Linked DNA regions of Pelodiscus sinensis. The protein of the gene in region 2 interacts with the protein of the main gene of each other region in a pairwise test. Links are inferred from orthologs where the notes say so. Each region holds a gene or a part of one and is shown on either strand. Other genes may lie near its edges.

Region 1 (7,375 bases), on a different chromosome or scaffold from region 2:
GATGGGCAATGAGTGCAGAGTGGAGCAAGTTGCGAGGTTGCTTTAGCTCCTGCCATTATGGTGACTACAGGAGGACCCAATCCCTGCCCCAGCTTGCATCACTCATGGGGGGAGGGGGGCTTTGGGAAAGGGATGTAATGGAAGTGGGAGGGTGGCAAAGCAGGGGTTAGGTGGGGGCTGAACAGGGACAGGAGCGGAGTGAGGGCAGGGCACAAGCAGAAGCAGCATAGGGGCAGGTTAGGGGGGCAGACTTGCCCTGGCCCCACGTCTCCCTAGGGACAGCCCTATGTTTGGCAATGTGCATGAGCATTCTCCATCCTGGAAAAGGAGAGTGTAGTGTTTGTGGATCATTTATCGTGCTTAATAAGAACACTAAGCAGTGTTCCAAGTATGGCAATAGGAACAAGTATTTCATTAGTAACAAGGTTCAGAAACCTCTCACAGAGGGGTCCCCAAACTATCATCTGGGGACAACTTTCACTGAAGAGGGCTAGATCTAGAACCTGAGCCCTTATAACAAAAGGCTCTATATCTTCTAACCTGATCTCTAGTGCTCTACGAAACACAAAATTTGTATCCCCATCTGATCTGCAACTATGTACCAGGGATTACCACCTATGTGCAGGGCCCTCTCCCTGAAACAGCCAGTCTCCTTGACTGAAATTAGACTGAAACCAGGACCTTCAAAGTGAAAGCTTCTGTATCTCAGTCTAGGGACATTAAATACTGGTTAAGTGAATAATCAACCTCATGGATTCTTATCGCTTACCTGATTATTTTACTGTTGCCGAGGATGGAGCCAGCAGCCTGTCAGGCAGGCAGCTGGGGCCACCCGTGGTGCTATTTTTAGTACCAAGGTGCCCTGGGGACTAGGACTGTGGTACTAAAAACAGCACTGTAGGCAGCCTCTGCTGCAGTCCTGCCACATGGTCCTGCCCCGGGAGCAGCTGGGGGGCCGGACTGTGGTGGCTTCTGTAGCTGGGACTGCAGAACTAAAAATAGGACCGCGGTCCCAGCAAACTGTTTTCCTCATTGAAAGTAGAAAGTTACGAAAGGGGTAGAGAGAGAACTAGAGGAAGGGGCTTGTGCTGAGAGAAAGGGAGGCCAGGGCAGGAGAAGAAAGGGGCAGGCACTAAGGGGCAGGGTGCAGAAGAGACAAATGCCAGGGGGTCAAGAGGAGACAATGAGAAAAAGGGCAGGAGAGGGGGCGGGAAGGTGTCAGTGGGAGTGGGGAAACAGGGTGATGCAAGGAGAGGGGCAGTGGTGGCAAGCAGGAAGAAGAGGAGAGGGGAGGAGTGGGTGCCAGAAGAAGAGGGGTTGAAAGGAGAGTGGGCATGAGAAAGGCAGGAGATGGAGCAAGGCATGTGTGAGGGCTCAGAGGGGCATGAGGGGAACTGGGGCAGGAGGTGGTGGCATCAGGGAGAAAGCGGGCAAGGAGGGTAGGGGCAGTGAGCAAAGGGGGAGGCACCAGGAAGGTGCAGGGGTAAGAGAAGGTGCAGGTGCCAGAGTATTGTGGGGGGTTAAGCAGCAGGGCAGACACCTGGGCTATGTCTACACTGGCGTGATCTTGTGCAAAAACTCTTCAGTGCAAGAGTTCTTGCCTTAAAGTAGCTGCGCAAGAGAGCGTCTACACTGGCATGTGCTTTTGCACAAGAGCATCCTTGCCAGTGTAGACGCTCTCTTGCGCAAGAAAGCTCCAATGGCCATTTTAACCAGCGGGCTTTCTTGCGCAAGAAATTCGTGTTGCCTGTCTACACTGGCCTCTTGCGCAAGAACAGTTGTGCAAAAGGGCTTATTCCTGAGTGGGAACATCTGAGTTCTGGCGCAAGAAGCCCTGATTTCATACAGCAGAATGTCAGATTATGTGCCCAAGAACACACAGCCAGTGTAGACAGGCAGCAAGTTTTTGCGCAAGATCGCGCCAGTGTAGACACAGCCCTGGAGAGGAGGGTTGGGCACCAGAGGAGAGAGGCATGGCAGTGAGGGAATGGGGAAGAGGCAGTTGATCAGAGCGGGGGACTAGAGGAGGTATAGGCACAGGAGGAAGGGAAGATGCAGGGGTCAATGAGGATGGGGCTGGGCCCCAAAAAGCTGAGGGGAGTGAGAAGGGCAGGAGCCAGGACAGCAGAGGAGGGCGGGGGGAGGCTGGGAGACATGGCAGTGAGGGGAAAGGGAGCGGGTCATAGCTTGGGTTGCGGTGGCACACACCGGACAAGCGACGGCGACCTCAGTACTGGCGCAAAAACAAAACTCCCTGGCTCAGGGGCGGGGCGCCTGGGAGGGGACACGGCCCAACACGGAGCTGGGCGCCAGCTGGGGCCGGCGGACGGGCAGCCAGTGCAGCGCCCCCGCGGCCAGCCGGCGTCACTGCCCCGCACCTCGCGCACAGACTCGCGCCTGCTGGCGGCGTCGCGCTCCAGCGCCTCGGGGCCCTCAGCCGCGGCGGGAAGCGGGGCCGTGACGGGCCCGAGCCCCCCGGCCACAGACCCAGCGAGCGCGGCGAGCCGGCCGCTGTCTGGCGGGCCCCGGGCTGCCCCAGCCGCGCGCACAGCGCAGCGCCAATCCCCGCCGCCCTTTCCCTGGCATCGCCCGCGGCGGCGCCCGGCCCCCGGCCACGTGCGCTGGGGGCAGCGGCCCCAGGGACACTCGACTGGCCGGAGCTCAGCCCGGGTCAGCCCCGCCGCCGCCGCCCGCCCCCCACGGAAACCCAGACCCCTCCCTGGTTGCCATAGTAACACCCTCCCCGCCTGCTGGCCTCTTTCCCAGTCTCGCCTGTGCGCCTTTTCCCCATTGCCCAGAATTGTTTCCCGCAGCCAATGAGAAGCCTGTTGCCAGGCCAATGCTCATTTGAATTACCCAATCGGATGCCCGCCCATTTGTCCCTCCTTATATGGAGTGTTGGGCGCCGCTTCTTCCCTTCCCCCATTAACTTCCCCCTCCCCCCCCATCCGCAGAGCGCGGGAAAAACACCCCTGGCCCTGCCTGGTTCCCGCGCAGGAGGGACCCGACCCGACCCCGCCCTGCCTGGGCGCAGGCGGTGGGGGGCGGAGCGAGCAGGGCAGGGTGGGAATGGAGCCAGGAGGGGCGGGGCGTGCGGGGAGCGCGGGCTGCTGGAGTGGAAAATTCCAGGCTGGAAGCGCGCGCGACATTAGTGCCCCGCCCCGCCCAGCTCTGCCAGGCACGTCGTACCTCCCCCCGCGCCTCCTGCTGGCCCGCCTGGAGCCCCAGCCCCGCGACTCCTGCTGGGCGCTGCGCCCGCAGCCAGCGCCCCTCGTGGGGATGGCTCCTCGCCGCCCTGCCCCAGACCGAGCCCTGCAGGGCGGAGCGCCTGGTGTGAAGCGCCGGGGCACTGGCGAGCCGGGCTGCGATTGCTCTGTCACTTCGGTGCCGGGCTGCCTCGGGCCCAGCTTGCGGGGAGGGGGCCGAGGGTCACGTCTGGGCCCGAGAGCCAGACCCAACAGGGATGTTTTGAGTCAAGGCGGGACCAGAATTCCGCCTCTGCCTTCGTGCCAAGCACCCTTTTCCTCCCCAGCGTCCTCCAGCCCGCAGCTGGGCCGGGTGTGAATGGGGGAGCCCCCGCAGTGGCATCATAGGGCGACCAATAGCTGAAGTGTCAGCGGTTAGAGTGGTTGGACGATAAAGCCAAGAGTTTCCATCTGTCCTAAGGAGATAGGAGCAAAGGCGAGATAGAGACAGGCACAGGGGACAAGATGGTGGCTAGTAGCACTTTTCATGTCAGGGAGTTTCAGCCCGTCACCTAAGAACCCCCGGCATCTCCCCCGTGCTCTTGCTCCACCCCTAGACCCAGCAGTAAGTCACAGCTAATGGGAGAGAGTTGGGGCCAGAGCTTCTGGGTTGCCTTCTGAGAGGACGTAGGTCCCATGGGCTAGAGAGCAGCTGGGGAGGCAGGATTTCGGCTCTTTGCTTTGACTTGTGTGACTTTCCCTGTCTCGGCCTCGCTTCTCTTCTGCAAGAGGGTGAAGAGCAATGTGCTATTTGTTAGTATTGCTACTGCAGTAGCGTCCCATCCCGATCAGTACGATGCACAGTGAGGCAGGGTCCCTGCCCTGAAGAGCTGGCACACAGGCCGATAGACTGGGCAGGGGTGGGAAAACAGAGACTCCGAGATGTGGCCAAGGTCATCCAACAGGTGACTGCTAGCGCCGGGACCTGACCCCCGGGCTCCCAGCACCCCTTCAGCGCACGGCGCTGCTTCCCCTACTTGTCAGCGGGCGGGCAGATGTGCGCGCACGTTGTTCCAAGGCTCTTTCCACCAACCTGGCTTGCTGTGCGTCGTGCCTCCCTCTTCTCCCTCCCAGTCCTCTCCCCTCCCTTCCCCAGGTCCCTCCTTCCGTCGTCACCGAGTGGTGTATAAATCCCCTTCTCTGGCATATCCCCCAGCACGGCGGGACGGGAGACCCTGGCACTTTGGCCCCGGACACGAGCTGCTGCCACTGGCCTTTGGGTGCCTGGGACTTTGCGCTCCTTGGTCCTGCCGCCCAGTCTCCGCTAGCTCGTTTCCCAGGGGCTCCCGGGCGTTGCTTGGTGGGTAATTCCTCTGCTCCCGCTGCCGCACCAGCCAGGATGTCGGAGAAACGCGCGGAAGAGGCGCCGGCAGAAGTGGGTGCCAAGGTGAGCCCCAGCCTGACCCTGCGCTCGTTTGCTGGGCCCCCGTCCTCCTCGCCCCCTCCTGTCAGTCTCGCTGGGAAGAGCTCGGCGATCCTCGCATGACAGCGGCGGCGCGGGGAAAGCAGGGGCAGGACAGGGCTGGCTACTCTCTGCCGCCCCCCCCCCCCCGCATTGCTCTCGCCTCCTCTCAGGGGCGCCTTTCCTCCCCCCGGCTTCCCTCCGGTCCTGGGCGCTGAAATAGCTTTTGCGTGGAGCGGCGGCCCCGCGTGCGATGCACACGTGAGCGGGGCAGAAGTATTTGTGCCGCCACAGCGCTCGCTCTTTCTCCTCCTCGGCCGCTTTGTCTCGCCCTCGCCTCGCCTGCGCGCTGAGCTCCCGTTGCGCCGCTCCTCGCCTCCCGGGCCACAAAGCTAGCCCCACGCGCGGGCTGCTCCCCGATCGCTTGCTTTGCAAAGCCCTTGCACGTTTCTGCCGCCCCTGGGCAAACCGTGCCGACTTGGCCAGACGCTCGGGGGCAGTGCCGCTCTATGCGGCCGGCCGGGGTCCGAGCCGATCGGCAGGGGTGGGTGGCGGAGGGCTTTGTTAGACTGACCACGTTAGAGTAATGTCACAGGAGGAGGTGGGAGTACACTAGTGCCGTGCGTGCGCTTGTGGGTGTGCACGAGTGGGTGAGGGTGCGAGCTGTGCTAAATGCTGCTAGCGCCTAGATTGAGTCCCTCTGAATGCTGATCTCTCCCTCTTTGAGTGCGGCGGTGCCGAGCATTGTTTGCCAGGAATGGTGTTTGCCTGCCTTGTGGCCCTCTGTTTTGAGCATTGGGTGTGCTGCGAGTGTGGTGGGAAGGGGCTCTTTGTACTGGAGGTGCTGTGGGCTGGGCTTTGGTGAGGGTTGGTTGTGTGTTGAGGCTTTGCATGTTTGCATTATGTGCAGCACAGGGGCATGGGAGAAAAAGTCACAAACAATTCATCCAAAATGTGGGCATGTAGTTTTGTTCCACCCAGCCCCCACATGCAGTGTTATAGCCTAAGCCAGGGGATCTCTTTTAAAGGCTGCTGGTGCAGAAGCTGGTGCTTTAGAAATGGTTTTGCTGTTTTGGATAGCTAAAGGTTAATAGACTTAAGGAAGAAAATGACTGAGGGAGAGAGAGGGAAAGGAGGGAGGGTGAAGAGAGAGGAGTGAGGCAGAGTGTAGGGAACAGATGGCATCACTATGACTTATTAGTCCTTGGGCAAATATAAACTCTCATTACCAGTTTGGACAAAGACAAGTCCCAAATAGTAAAAGAATAAAATGCTCCTGAGCCAGCCTTTTCACTGCTGCATTGTAGGTGCTAGGGAGCACATTCAGCTACCCACATTCATGGCAAACCTATACAGAAAATCAACTGCCAAAACAGCGATAGTGGATTACATGGAAAAGACTCTAAATACCAAGTGCTTTATGGCATGGGGCTTCCCCGATTTTTTTTATCTAGCTGAGAAAGCTAAATACTGCATTTCTCTGACTGCCTCCCACATTCCGAGTTGCAGCTGGGGTCATGAAGATAAAGGTTAATACTACAGGGGACAGTCTTTTCTCCTGTGGCTTTATAGAATATGAAAAATGCCTTTAAAAAGTAGACATCAGAGCTGGGAAAATCCACATCACCTCCTGCACTATGTAGGGAAGGATGTTTCCTCTCGCTCCATTCCCAGGATGCCTAGCCTTCAATTCAGCAGGGTATTTAGGCATATGAGTAGTTCCACTCAGAGGTTTAGTTCCTAGTGACCAGAGTGATGGGGTTCTTCTGGGCCACTTCTTTGGGGGAAATGGCTCCTGGCTTCCCAGATCCCTAAGCATTGAGGGATGGTCACAGAACATCTTTTCCTTGGCTCAGCCGCAGTTCTTTTCCAATAGCTCCCCCCTTACACAGTCCTCCTCTAGGGTTCATGCCCTTGAGGCACTAGCAGACAGTTGTCAGTCTCTCATTAGTTGTGGCCAGAAAACTGAGATCTTTACATTTCAACCTATTCTGACTAGAGCTAGGAAACAGCTGCACAGCACTGAGGGGTTGGTGACACTGGGGAGTTGTTTTACCAACTGAAGGGCCTAGACTCCTATTGCTGAAAACATTGAGAACAAGGAGCCCCAGGGTATGGTCTGGAGGGTGTGATCCAGCTCTTGGTTCAGGTAGGGTGGCTGTACCTCTCCAGCCAACATAGCGCTGTCTACATTGGAGCTTATGTTGGTATTACTTACTTTGCTCAGGGGATGGTTTATTCCCACCCCTGAGTGACATAAGTTATGATGACATATGATGTAGCGTAGACATAGCCTGAGAGAGCTTTTCCTGTCTGATCATGCAGAGGAGGGACTCTCTCCAGCCTCTCTCCTCCCAATCCTATAGTAAGTAAGATTAAATTAGTCCCAGCCTCTCCTGGGACAAGGGAACTTCTGCTAATTTGTAATTGGAGGGAGGTGTTGTTCCCAGGGCTGGAGGGGGGAAGAGGGATAATTATTCATTCAATGACAGACACTCGGATGATACAGAAATTGTCATACTGGATCTGACCCAGAGTCCATCTAATCCCTCTCACCATGGCCTGCACCAGCTGCCTCAGAGGAAGACTCAGGAAACCCCCTAGTGGACAATTATACAATACATTGCATACAGGAGCAGTTTCTAACCTATCGACTGTGTCTAGACTGGCATGATTTTGCGGAAATACTTATAACGGAAAAGTTTTTCCATTAAAAGTATTTCCGCAA
Region 2 (7,614 bases):
AAAAATAGCCTGCCCGCCCCATGTGCCCTCCTGACGTGATGGCCCAGAGCCGGCTGGGCAGCATTCCAAGGCCTTTGGTGTCTAACGCACACTGCGGGCAGCAGGGTGACGGTGCACACGGGGGGGAGGGAGGGGGCGGTTTGCCAAACAACCAGCAGGTTCCTGCTTTTATGTGATGGCCTCTGGGTTTGTGCCCCACATCAGAGCAGCAGGGAACACCCGGGGGCAGGTTTGCCCTCCTAGTTGCCCCCGTGCTCCCTGCCCCCTTACTTCCTGGGCCTCTCAGGCTGACGCTGCCGGGTGAAAAACTGCTTCTCAGCATCTTCCCCCTCTGGTCCAATGAGCCGGCGTCGCCCCCGTGTAGCCCAGGGGGAAGCTGACCACAGGGTGTGTGTAGGGAAAGGCCGTGCAGAACAAACTTGCAGGCAACCTGTGTCCGAACCTGGTCTTCCCGTGATACCTTTGAAATTCGGTGTGTGCCCTGCGCGCCGTAGAAATCCACAGGCCCCCCCTCCGCTGGAGAGATCCATCCCCATGAGTATCTGCGAGGAAGGCGACTGATTTTCTTCCTGGATGCAAAGGGCTCGTGGAATCTGTACTTTGGCTGCGACGCGGGCTGCTGCGGGGAAGGCCTGTGACCGCTCACCTGGTGGTATCAGACCCAGATGCCCATCCCCATCTCCAGAGCCAGGCTGGAGCATCATGCAGACTCCTGGGCCCTGTTCTTAACTCGGCCGCGGATGTCTGTGCAGCCGGCGGCGGCTCAGTTTTGCCACCTGTAGAATGGGTTTAGTCGTGCTGCCTTCCCCGGGGGTGGCGAGGCTTAATTAACTTTTGGGATGTGCCACTGACAGGGAGCTGGACACAGTTGTGTTCAGTGCCAGGGACAATGCACAGAGCCACAAGAAAGACCTCGCTACATTCTTGCACCCTCCGCCCCCACCCGCGACTGTACAAAGCTACTCTGTTAGGGAACGCCAGTACCAAGGGGCAGGCAAACCGTGAAGCCGGTAGCTGTTCCACAGTCAAGCGTGGGTGTTGTCAGATCCTGCCTCCCGCCCCTCCCCCCCCCCCCCCCCCCCCCCGTCCAGCCCCAAGGAACCCATTTGCGGCGATGCACTGGAGCTTAGCAGGAACAGCAGGCGCCTGTGTCCTGCAAATGGAAAGAAAACAGGGTAGGAGACTCCCTGGCCGGAAAAGCGAGCCCAGGCCTGCGCTTGTAGCCTAACCACTATCCTGTCCTGCTGCATCAGTGTCAGGGTGTCAGACCGACCCTGTGCCCAAGGATCCCCTAAGCTTTGCAAACAACTCTCAGCTCAGCCCCGAGCACGTCTGGCTGGCTAGTCAGCCAGGGAGTCACTGCAGAAAGGGCTGCAGGTCGCGTGCGCGGATAAGACTGAGGGGCTGCAGGTCGGACTCCCTGCTCCAGCACCCTCGGCACCTGGCTGGTCCCGGAGGAGGGATTTTGCCGGGCCAAGAGAGGTCAATTCTGGCCCAGCTGCCAACCTGCCGCCTCCGCCACGCCCTGAACTGGCCGATCCTGCCCTGAACTGGCCGATCCCGCCCTGCTGGGTTCCTGGCCAATGACCTGCTCAGGCTGCTAGTGGCTGCTGGCCCGGGACTGCCACCGGCTCCAGTCCAGGCTGCCCCACAGCTGCTGCCAAACCTGCCCCATGGCTGCCACCACCTGCCCCGCTGCCCTGCGGCCTGGCTCCCGGCCAGTCCCTCCCGCTGGCTGAGTCCCCTCCATTGGGGCTGCCTGGCCTAGGAACAGCTGTGGGGTCCTGCCAGGGAGTTGCCAGACCAGAGCATCCCGGTTTTCAGAGGTTCTGCCAGGCCTGTCGTTCTATTGAGACTGTGCTGTCTGGGGGTAGCAGAGAGTCCCTGGGGACGACGTGTCTCCGCGCCGGCCCATTCGGGTAGGGTGTTGGTCTCACCTTTGTGTGGCCTTGCGCAATATGTTGGCAAAACCCCATCTGTGGCAATGGCAAACACGCAAAGCCAGGGGGCAGGTGATAAAGGAAACACAACAAGCCGCGGGCGTGTCAGCGTAAGCCAGCGGAGGACGGGCTCCCTGTCTCCTTTCACTCAGGAGCCCGTTGGGGGGCAGGGCAGTTTTCTTGAGCTTTTGGGCGCTGGCTCCTGGGAAGCCAGGCTGCTCAGCAGCAAACGGTATTGGGGGGCACCTGCCTTGTTAGCTAGGAAAGGGGTCCCAGGAGCGTCAGGCCAGGCTGGTCTGTTCTTTTGAATCGTAGCCAGTGGCGTGCACCAGCCTCTTAGTTTTGGTTGAAGGTTTCTCTTCCCATAACGCAGCCCCCGGGGGTGTCATTGCAAGGGCTCCCCAGGGCTCCGCACAGGGACTGGGATCTCAGGCAGACGCTGGGTGCTCAGGCCCTTTGGAGGCAGAGGAGCTGGGATTTCTGGGCGTGGCCAGGGTGAGGGGCTGGGATGTCCCAGGGAGACGCGGCAAAGGGACTCCGGGTGCAAATTGTTGATCTGCAAGGCGAGCCTGGGATGGCCCAGAAGAGGTGGTTGGCTGACAGGCTGCTGGCGGCAGGTTCTGCCACCCAGCCAGCGGGGCTGACAGCCGCCATGGGCCCCTAAATAAGGTGGAGGGCTCGGCTCTCCCAGAAAGGGGCGGGGCCTCAGGTGGAAGGGGCGGGGCTGAGGCAGCCAGCTCGCTGCAGTCCCCGCCCCATCCACATTGTGCCAATGACTTAACCAAGAACCCTGGGCCCCTTTGAATTGCCGCCCCCCTCGCCCCCCCCCTTGGCCAGCCTGCACCCCGCCAAGCCCAAGCAAGGCTCCCATCAGCTGGCGTAACACGGTGACTCGCAGCCCCTCACCGTGGCCATGCAGCACTGAGCATTGCAAACACCCTGTCGTCATGGGGTCTCCAGGGTCACCTGGCCCCTGGCTGCAGACGGGGCCCTTTCAAGCCAATGGAATTGGCCGGGCCGGTCTCCCCTTCAGCGGCCCAGGCAGTGCCAGTATTAACAGCCCCTGGCTGTGTCCGTATCCTGCACCCCTGGACCAAGCGCCACATGAGCTCTCCTCTCATCCGGGGGGCGGAGGCTCCGATCGCCATGCTGGCCAAGCTTGTGGGTCTGGTTGCCGCTGGGGCCCAGGCTGTGCGATGTGCTAGCCAACGCCGGGCAGCGGTTGCCAGCGGCAACCAGGCTCTCAGGGAGGACCAAGGCCTCGCAGCAGCTTTGAATTTGTCCCAGAGGGTCACACGGCGGCGGGAGGGATTCGTAGCGGACTGGGCTGAGGCGAGGGAACGATGGGCAGGAGCAGCGACCCCAGCCTGCAGCTGGGAGGTGACATACTCAAGGCCACAAGGCAGAGAGCAGAGCCGGGAGTCAGCCCTGGTCCCTGCTCTGTATCCTCACCCGCTAGGCCGCGCTGCCCCTGTGCTTGATGTTGACCTTGCAGATAGGACGGGGGGGGGATTTTTTGGGGTGGGAGGCCTCTGTTCCACAGGAAAATCAGTCAGGGGCTGCACACAAGTGAGAAGGAAAAACCCCTCACCTGCAACTGAAAGACCCTCCTCACGCTCCCCTCACACACAGCTGGCAGGGGGGCAGGCTAGTAGATTTTTGTGCCCCCCCATAGGCTCTGGGGTGGGGGCCAAAACAGGGAGGGGTTCAATGTGTGTGTGTGTGGGGGGGGCTGCTGGGAAGCGCATGTGGAGTGTGGTGCCTGAGTGGGAAGGTGCAGGAGCAGGCTGAGCAGGGAAGGTGGGGGGCAGGAGCAGAGTGGGGGCTGAGGATGTGGGGGGGGAGGAGGGTGCAGGAGCAGGCTGGGCATTGGGAGGGGGGGTGGTCTGTGCTGCCATTTCCCCAGCCCAGGGGAGGGGGAGGGGCAGCGCTTGGAGCCACTTCCTCCCCCTGCCAGGCAGAGTCTGAGGGCTGGACCCAGCTCCAGGCTTGCCTGACTCCAGCGAGGCTCGGGGCAACGAGGCTGCAGGGCTGGAGTGCCAGCACCGGCTCCCCAATGCTGCAAGGGTGCCGGGAGAGCTGGCTCCAGACAAGTCGAGGGCTGGATCCAGCTCCTAGCCTTAGGTTCCCCACCCCGAGCTCAGGGAAGCCGTTCTCCAGTTTAGAACCTGCCTCCCATCTACACCCTGAGCCCCTGGGCCATTTTCGGGCCAGTGACCCGCATGCTAGGAGCGATGGTGGAAACGATGCCCCCAAGAGGCGGGGACTCCAGATGCCTGCGCAGAGCAGCCTGAGGCGCAGATGCCCTGCTTCACAGACTTTGGGCATGGGTGATCCTAGCCAGTGCTTATTTTGTTTAAAAAAAAAAAGTGCCAGTACTCCAGTTGTTGAGCAAAAAAAAAAGATGGGGTGGGGCCGGCCTTGCCCTTTTAAGACAAGCAGCCCCTTTAAGACACACGGCCCAGCCGACTGTCGAACATTTGCCTGTAGAGAGGTGCTGGTATGCTTATGCTCTGTTCTTTCCAGGTAAGCGCTGACTGGAGGTTCCAGTACAGTGTCCTGGGCAGTACCGTCACAAAAAAACCCCTGATCCTAGCACCTTTCGCCAACATTGAGCCTGGATGGAGGAAGACTTCCTCTCTCTCTCCGGCACCTGCCTGTTCCCTGGGCTGCCGAATTCCAATCTGCTGACGGCCAGGTCAGCTGATAGGGCGAGGCCCCGCCCAGACAGGCAGCACCTGCTCTTATAAAGTCACCGGCCCGTGGGAGAGGCAGGTAGAGCGTGCAGGAGAAGACACCTGCTCCGGAGCTGTCCCACAGGTAAGGAGGGATGCCCCTTCTGCATGGCTGTGGGTGGGATGTGTGAAGTGTCACCCTGCTTCCCCCACTCCACTTCCCCTTCTTTGGGGTGTTTGGCGTCCGCAGGGTTGGGAATCAAATCCTGGGGCGTGTGATGGGCTCCAAGTCAGCCCAGTTAGTCGTAGTATCCCAGGGCTGGAAGGGGCCTCAGGAGTCCTCGAGTCCAGCCCCCCGCCCATAGCAGGACCAGCCCCATCGAAATCATCCCAGGTCTGCATTCGACTCTGGGAGAGGCTGGTCCTCCTTGCTGGGCTGCTCCGCCCTGTGCTGTTTGGCCAGGGGGTGGGTGGCAGGGGCGGGAGGGGACACCGGCTGTTGATTTTTTAAATTGGGCTTTCGCTTGTTGTAACTGAGCACATGATAGGCCCAGGTTCTGATCCCTGGCAGCAGCATTTCCACTGGGACCAGGGTGACCCCCAGGTACCCACTTCACAACAGGATGGGGGCCAGTTTTTCCAAAGGGGGCATCGCCTGGGGTGCACACCGGCTGCTGAGAGCCTCGGGGCCCCGCCGTGGGCCCTGGGCACTGACACCTCTGGAGACAGGTTCCCCGCTAATGCAAATTGTCCAAGGCCCATGGAGTCCAGCTGGGCTCTGACGATTTCCACACCCCTTTGCCCCAGAGGGCGACGTTGCTGTGGAGCCTGGGGGCTCGTGGGAAGGGAGCGCTGCTCCCCGTGTTGGGAAATCGCTCTGGGATCTGCTTCGCTTTGTGGCCGTCCTGGCGCGTCCGAATCGGGCGGAGAGATGCTAGGACGCGGTGGGAGTGGGGGGGTTCCGCTACATTTTCCATCCGCTGGGGAGTCACCCGGTTCTGCTCCCTCGGGAGTCACCCGGTCACTGACTTGACTGCACCCTGGCTGGGTCCCAAAGTTTCTGGGCTGGGGAAGGCCATGACATTTGCCCAGCTGAGGTTGGGGGCTAGTTTCCATATGCCCGGCACTGCCTGTCTCGCTACCTCTGAACTCCTGGGCACTGGGGCAGGTGCCGAGGCAGGGCGGAGTGGGGGGCCCCCAGACCCAAGGTGATGCTATTTCTCTTGACTGCGGCTGGCCTCTGGCATGTGCTCCTGTTTTGAGATCCTGCACGTAGAATCCTGGCATTGACTCCACCGTTCCCGGCAAGCCTGATCTCGGGGGGTCGTGTTCTCGGAGCTAAGCTCTGTTTCCCTGCCTGCCTTTGCAACCCGCAGCCCTGCCAGTGGGGAAACAGACGGCCAGGGCTCCGGAACACCGTCTAGTTGGCTCTGACTAATCCTGACTTGAGCAATCCCCCCCCCCCCACACACACACACACAGAGCCGTCGCGGGTCGGACCGTGGCTGGCTGACGACAGCGTGACATGAGCTGGGCTGGGCCAGTCTTTGCTATCAGATCAGCTGTTTCCTAAGGACGTGGGTGGGAAGAGAGCCACCTCCTGCCTCTCTGGGGTGTTTAACACCAGGCTGGACAGATCCAGGGGGCAGGGCCCCTGGCTCAGATCCACGCTTCAGTGGAAGCTAGGCGTCTGGCTCACGTCCCTGCCTCCTACGCTAGTTTCAGAACGTGCCAGAGGCCAGATTCTTCCCCGGCGTAACTTGGAAAGCTGCCCTCCTTTGCACCCGCTGGGAACTGGCCGCACTCTGCAGGGGAGGTTCAGGCCAGCCCGCAGGAAGGGCAACAAGTAAAGCTACACGGCTGAGTCAAGCAGGGTCTTGTGTCTTCCACCTTCCCTGCTCGGTTTCCCAGCACTCCAGCTGCAGGTCCCGGGAGTCCGGCCTGGGGTCCGCCGGCAGGAGTAGGCCTCAGTCGCAGGAGAGGAGGATCCCATTTGATCTCGGTGCCACTGGAGTCTGGGCCCCTCTGTCAGTGTCGCGGGGAGGGCCCTGATGCAGCACACAGCTGGTTTTGTGGGGTTCTCTGTGGGTGGGACGCAGCCGTCGGGGGGCTCTGGTCTGACAGCTCTGCCCAGAGAGACACCCGCCGGGCTCGCAGCAGCGTGTGCTTTGCCGTCAGACCGGGACTTGCCATGAAACTGCGCTATGGCCAGTGCCGGTGTCCCTGGAGGGCCACCCACCGCCCCAGTCCGGCTGCCGGCACAGGAATCCTTGCAGCCCTGAAGGGCTGTCTGTACCCTCCCCCAAGTCCAGCCCCTGCTCCACCCCCACCCTCTTCCCACCCCTGCTGTGCCCTCTCCCTCCCCCAATAGCATCCCTTTCCGCAAACTCCTCCCCCATCAGACGCAGCCTCTGGTGGCCTGGCAGGGGGACAGCTGGGGTCAGCCCCTGCTCCCCCACACTGCGGTGGTGGGAGCCGTGGGGAAGTGGAGTGATGCAGCAGCCTCCCGGGCTAACCTGTGTATGGGACCCATCCTGTCCCCAGGTTGGGTGGGGCAGCCGGGTGGGGTGGGGTGTGGCCACTGTGGGGCCTGAGCCGGCCACGCTGAGCCATCCCATGGGTGGGGCAGCTCTGCGTCCCCTGCATCCCCCACGTGCCAGGAGCGACACGGAGCTCGCAGCAAGAACTGTCTCTAGCCCCATGGACTGCCAGTGCTGGGGGAGAAGGGGGCACAGACAGGGCTGGGGGACACGCGGGGTGCGGGAAGAGCGCAGGCTGGCAGGCAGGGCTGGGAGACAGGTGTGTGTGGGACATCCTCCCCGCCTCCCAGAGCCATTGCCGGAGTTGGGGGGAGGTGGCCCACGAGAACCTGAGAAATGGCCCTGAGATGAATTGTTTGAGACCCCTGCTGTAGCTCTCCCATTTGTGCCTTAGGCAGAGCGGAGGACGACCAGCCCTTGTGGCCGTTAGCCGAGGCCTCAGGTGACCTGGGTGCAAAT

Evidence for each region. The genes of interacting proteins can lie anywhere in the genome.
Region 1: the proteins of SDCBP2 (region 2) and PTMS interact in a two-hybrid assay, tested with the Homo sapiens proteins (2 studies listed by BioGRID and IntAct). The two-hybrid records come from large-scale screens. The link is inferred for Pelodiscus sinensis from reciprocal best matches to the Homo sapiens genes SDCBP2 and PTMS.

What each region holds. Positions count from the first base shown.
Region 1 is NC_134711.1:138,425,033-138,432,407, reverse strand, and holds the start of PTMS (parathymosin), read left to right. Parts: upstream 1-4,349; 5' UTR 4,350-4,584; coding exon 4,585-4,632; intron 4,633-7,375.
Region 2 is NC_134728.1:2,655,326-2,662,939, reverse strand, and holds the start of SDCBP2 (syntenin-2), read left to right. Parts: upstream 1-4,524; 5' UTR 4,525-4,760; intron 4,761-7,614.